2 linked regions of the Saccharomyces cerevisiae S288C genome follow. The protein of the gene in region 1 binds, or shares a complex with, the protein of each later gene. Each region holds a gene or a part of one and is shown in the gene's direction. Other genes may lie near its edges.

Region 1 (3,205 bases):
TGTAGAGGCGACTGGAGGCTCCGCATCTCTATATTTGACCGCGACAACAATGTCAGTGCTCACTCAACGAGGTCTGGATTACCTTAAAAATACTTCGGTTTACAAGAGGGCGGAAAATGTCTTGTACGGTAACTCAAACACTTTAATCTTTCGAGGAATTAAAAGAATGGGATACCGTATGAAGATTGAAAATACGGCCATCGTTTGTACTGGGTTCACATTCTTTGTGCTGTGCGGTTATTTTTTGGCCGGGTTTATCATGGCCTGCAAATACAGTATCGAGTTATGTATAAGATGTGGTTGGATGCGGAGTGATAGGTTTTACCAATTTAGGAAAAACTGGAGGTCAGTTCTGAAAGGATCGTTGTTAAGATACATCTATATTGGGTTCACGCAACTGACAATTTTAAGTTTTTGGGAGTTCACTGAACGGGATTCCGCCGGTGTTATTGTTATTGCATGCCTATTCATTGTATTGTCATGCGGGTTGATGGCGTGGGCTGCGTACAGAACCATTTTTTTCGCAAGTAAATCTGTGGAAATGTACAATAACCCAGCTGCTTTATTGTATGGTGATGAGTACGTCTTAAACAAGTACGGGTTTTTCTACACCATGTTCAACGCAAAACATTATTGGTGGAATGCTCTTTTAACGACGTATATTCTTGTAAAAGCTTTATTTGTCGGATTCGCACAGGCATCAGGTAAAACGCAAGCATTGGCTATTTTCATTATTGACTTGGCGTATTTTGTTGCCATCATCCGTTATAAACCATATTTGGACCGTCCAACGAATATTGTCAACATTTTTATTTGCACTGTCACCTTGGTCAACTCTTTCCTTTTCATGTTTTTCTCAAACTTGTTTAACCAAAAGTATGCTGTCTCTGCCATCATGGGCTGGGTGTTTTTCATTATGAATGCTGCGTTTTCTTTGCTTCTACTGTTGATGATTCTGGCCTTTACCACAATCATTCTGTTTTCTAAGAATCCTGACTCCAGGTTCAAGCCAGCAAAGGATGACAGAGCATCTTTCCAAAAGCATGCTATTCCTCATGAAGGTGCCTTGAATAAGTCAGTGGCCAACGAATTAATGGCCCTAGGTAATGTGGCAAAGGATCATACCGAAAATTGGGAATACGAACTGAAGAGTCAAGAAGGTAAAAGTGAAGATAATCTTTTCGGAGTTGAATACGATGACGAGAAAACAGGAACTAATTCAGAGAATGCTGAAAGTAGCAGTAAGGAAACCACCCGTCCAACCTTTTCTGAAAAGGTTTTACGTTCATTATCAATCAAAAGGAATAAGAGTAAACTGGGCAGTTTCAAGCGCAGCGCTCCGGATAAGATAACACAACAAGAGGTTTCTCCTGACCGCGCCAGCTCTTCGCCTAACAGCAAGTCATACCCCGGTGTCTCGCACACCAGGCAAGAATCTGAAGCGAATAATGGGCTAATCAATGCATATGAAGATGAGCAATTCAGTCTGATGGAACCAAGCATACTGGAAGACGCTGCTAGTTCCACCCAAATGCATGCTATGCCAGCCCGAGATTTGAGCTTGAGCAGTGTTGCAAACGCCCAAGATGTTACTAAAAAAGCAAACATCCTGGATCCTGATTATTTGTAAGCTTTGTCGATGGGATAAAGGTAAAAAGAACAACGTAATTAAATCATTACGAAAACTCTACTGCATTATTTTTTAGTCTTTTTATAGAGACATGAACATTCAATTACTTTCAAGGATAAATATTCTAATATTCATATTATTCACTTATGTATTTTTAACGAAACTCTACTCCATTCTACTGGGATCGGGCATACTTTACGGGGTGCACGGATTTTAGCAGTCTTTTTCTTTCTTGGCTTTTGCGAGATGCCTTGAGAGGAAGATTTTTTTTTCACTCAAAACCTCTGTCTTGTACATATCTAGAACATGTTTCATTGATATTGGACGTTACTATTTCAATTTAACAGTCAACCAGTCGTCCAAAAATGTCCAAGATCACTTCTTCTCAAGTCAGAGAACACGTCAAGGAATTGTTGAAGTATTCCAACGAAACCAAGAAGAGAAACTTCTTGGAAACCGTCGAACTACAAGTCGGTTTGAAGAACTATGACCCTCAAAGAGACAAGCGTTTCTCTGGTTCTTTGAAGTTGCCAAATTGTCCAAGACCAAACATGTCCATCTGTATCTTCGGTGATGCTTTCGATGTTGACAGAGCTAAGTCTTGCGGTGTTGACGCTATGTCCGTCGATGACTTGAAGAAGTTGAACAAGAACAAGAAGTTAATCAAGAAGTTGTCTAAGAAGTACAACGCTTTCATTGCTTCTGAAGTTTTGATCAAGCAAGTTCCAAGACTATTGGGTCCTCAATTGTCCAAGGCTGGTAAGTTCCCAACCCCAGTTTCTCACAACGATGACTTGTACGGTAAGGTCACTGATGTCAGATCTACCATCAAGTTCCAATTGAAGAAGGTCTTGTGTTTGGCTGTTGCCGTTGGTAACGTTGAAATGGAAGAAGACGTTTTGGTTAACCAAATCTTGATGTCTGTTAACTTCTTTGTTTCTTTGTTGAAGAAGAACTGGCAAAATGTTGGTTCCTTGGTTGTTAAGTCCTCCATGGGTCCAGCTTTCAGATTGTACTAAGCATAATTACGTGTTTTCATAGTTTAACGCTTTCAGAACTACTTATTTAATTTTGTAAGAAGTAATTTGAGTCACATTTGTATTTAGTAAAAGATTAAGAGTATTTCTATTTCACCGCCTTGATAGGAAAGAGCGGCGCGGAAGGGCAGCTGTAGGGAATTTTGCTCTGTATTCCCCTGTTTAATATCAAAAACAACAGAGAAGGATCCCCGATGAGAAAGACGCTCGGGAGGTCTCTGTGTTTGCTAGGCAATTGACATATTTAAAAGATTTTGTTTGAGGTTTTGCAGATAAACAAGAAGCAGTATGGCTAATGATCAAGATCCCAACAAGTCTCTCATTAATGACGCTTTGACTCGGAGTATGTCCGAATTTTATGATGATGATGATGATAACGACAGTGACATGTGTAGGGCAAATGATGAGGGAGAAGACGTTTTTGACCTTCCACTTAAGGTAGGCGTTTCTCAAAGCAGGAACTTTTCAGAAGTAAATGACGTGTTAGACCCGCTTTCTAGTTTGCATGGTCCGTCCAAGAAGGTGAGATTTGAACAGC
Region 2 (3,005 bases), on another chromosome or scaffold:
ACCGTCTTCTTCGTGGTCTCTATCATTCTCCCATGGATTATCAATGCTCTGAGTGGTTTTCAAACATTTACACAAATCTTCCAATTGGATTTTGTGCAGAGAAAGCTTCTCAATCATAACAATTTCTTCTTGAGATATCCCCAAATGATCATATAGCCGTGATAAAACCACAGTTTTCCAAGCAGCCATATCCTTCTGGGTAAACTGTAATCTATGTGCTAGTTTCTTGTGGGATTTAATGTCAATACAAAGACACAGCGTAGCCAAATTCGTGCACATTTGATTTGCCAAAATGTTTATTGCACCTACGTAGGCAAACTTCTCCATATCAGATAGCAGATTTTTCGTTATGTTTAACTGCGAGTCCCGATTCAAGTCGTTCACTGGTTCCACGTCGTCCTCATATTCGTCATAAGAATCATCATCATCGTCATCATTATTTTTTTCATTGTTCAAGGATGTAGTCGAAGGGGAAGAAGTCAAATTTACGGAAGTTTGCGAACTGTTAATTTTCTTTTTCAGTACTTTGTGGTCAAAAAGGAAATCTGTTTTTTTATTTGTTCGATAGGATCGTTGGGCTTGCTGCTCAGCGGCCATTTTCGTATAGTCAAATCTAGAATCATTGACACTTTTGCAATTTTTTCCTGGAGGAACTGTGGGAGACGTCTCAGAGGCTTGTTCTGAGTTTCTAACCTTGGAAGTCAACTCTAGTTCGCCTCTGTGGTTATATATATTGAACGATGAGACAGCGGGCATCTCTTGCCAGCCTCCATCATCTGAATCAGAGTCGGAGTCTGAATTGCTCCTGGACTTTGTACCTGGAACAGGATCCGTATCGTGCACAGATTTAAAAGGGTCCAGCAAAATAGGTTTATCGGCCCGATCAATACCGCTATCTGCTTCATTAGGACTGCACACTGACTGTGATGAGGGAAAACCTGTGCCCTCTTTTCCTGCTTCTCCCTCATGTAAAGCATCTTCGGTTCGTGTTCCGTCTTCTTCTCTTCGTTTAAAAACTTCTTCTTTAGCCTGTGTATGCATAACAGTTAAATCATCTTGATTACTCAAGCCGCAATCATGTTCGGGGCTTGAGTTGGATTCTTCATCAGTATGCTCCCCTGACTCCTTCAAATGCCTCGCTATCTTCAAGCCTTTCAACTGTACACCTAAATCTTCCTCCGAATCGGACATCTTTTAGTACTGTAATGTTTAATCTTCTCTTTTAACTCTGCCTCTATTACGTTCGAGAAACCCTTCCACTATGCTTTCCAATCACTAATAGAATCACTAAAACTAACTGTACCAGCCAGTAAGGAAAATACGAAGCTATTCAAACTCGGAAACAAACTAGCGTATGGTATAATTCTCTATTAGTAGTACACACCCTTTCCTACTACCACGATAGGATCGTTTATTTGCACCGCATTTCCTTTCATATTCTTAAAGCATTAAGGTCGGCAAAATATCGAGACTGCTTTCTCCATGTCAACACCCGTACATATTCAGAGATAACACCCATAAATTATACAAAAAAGTTTCCAAACTTTTTTTTTTAGACAACGCGAGCCGAATGGATGAATTTTTCAAGCAAAAAAGAGCTAATTACCTAAATGATTCATATATGGATTATTAAAGTACACGATTAATTGATAATTATTGATTTTTTTTGAACATCTGGGATCATAAAAACACCGTAGCACAGTAAACCTATATCGTTTCACAAATATCAACCACAATGGCTCCAAACGTACGTTAATTTTCGTTCCTATGTCACAATTAGAGAACATGAAAGAAAATAAAATCTTTAAAAAGTTTGTCTATTCCTACAGTTCATTGAACAGTCCCGCTTTCACAGCGAACTAGTGGATTCCATCTCGAAGTTACATTTTTATGTATTCAGCTATTCTGTATTTTAAAAATTCACCCCTTATAGCTTTAACAGAGGCAATGCGCTTTCTCTAGCTATATGAAGTGATTGTTAATAGCAGTAGGCCAGACATTTTTTCCTCGTCCAAACGACAAGGATGATTTCATCTCAGTTGGGATTACTAACATAAAACTGTAACAGACTTCCAGAAAGCAAAAAGTTATCAAAACCTTAACCGTTGACGTTTCCTCTCCAACTGAAAACGGAGTCTTCGATCCGGCTTCATATTCCAAGTACTTAATCGATCATATTAAAGTAGATGGTGCCGTAGGAAACTTAGGGAACGCCATTGAGGTTACTGAAGATGGTTCTATAGTCACTGTAGTATCCAGTGCCAAATTTTCTGGTAAATACTTGAAATATCTAACAAAGAAGTATTTGAAGAAGAATCAGCTAAGAGACTGGATCAGATTCGTCTCTATAAGGCAAAACCAATACAAATTGGTTTTCTATCAAGTCACCCCTGAAGATGCTGACGAAGAAGAGGATGACGAATAAATAGACACTCACATGTATATTAATTTATAAAATGCTATTCATATCATAATTCACCACCCTTAATATATCCTTTTGTCCCTCTTTTGATTTACATATTTTATTTTTGCAATATGTCACTTCACGAAAATTAGTGAAAAATAGAAAAGAAAAAGAAATGCTTTAGCTTTTGAAACACGAAGATCATCAAAAAACTTTAAGAAAAGCAACTACCCCAATTCCGCAAGCCAACCAAGCATTTATCAGCACATCATGTCCTTCTTCAACTTCAAGTATGTTCACACTGTTGTCGTTTTATTTTCTTCTGGACCTGCGTTATCATTTTACTAACTAGCCAACACACCTAATCAAATCATTTGATCCTACGTGTATACTTTGCAAAACAGAGCATTCGGAAGAAACTCAAAGAAAAATAAAAACCAGCCCCTTAATGTTGCTCAGCCGCCAGCAATGAACACCATTTATTCAAGCCCCCACAGCAGCAATTCCAGATTATCGTTAAGAAATAAACATCATTCGCCTAAGAGGCATTCTCAAACAAGTTTCCCCGCACAAAAGTCTACGCCGCAATCACAGCAATTGA

Evidence for each region. The genes of interacting proteins can lie anywhere in the genome.
Region 2: RPL1A (region 1) and RPL22B share a complex: the UniProt entries of both Saccharomyces cerevisiae proteins name them as parts of the large ribosomal subunit.

Annotation. Positions count from the first base shown.
Region 1 is NC_001148.4:133,795-136,999, forward strand, and holds RPL1A (60S ribosomal protein uL1 RPL1A), read left to right. Parts: upstream 1-1,995; coding exon 1,996-2,649; downstream 2,650-3,205. Other genes in the region: FLC1 (flavin adenine dinucleotide transporter), read left to right, coding at 1-1,630; PCL8 (Pcl8p), read left to right, coding at 2,956-3,205. UniProt on the Saccharomyces cerevisiae protein: Component of the ribosome, a large ribonucleoprotein complex responsible for the synthesis of proteins in the cell.
Region 2 is NC_001138.5:63,663-66,667, reverse strand, and holds RPL22B (60S ribosomal protein eL22 RPL22B), read left to right. Parts: upstream 1-1,735; coding exon 1,736-1,747; intron 1,748-2,068; coding exon 2,069-2,425; downstream 2,426-3,005. Other genes in the region: MIL1 (Mil1p), read right to left, coding at 1-1,191; MOB2 (Mob2p), read left to right, coding at 2,675-2,694, 2,809-3,005. UniProt on the Saccharomyces cerevisiae protein: Component of the ribosome, a large ribonucleoprotein complex responsible for the synthesis of proteins in the cell.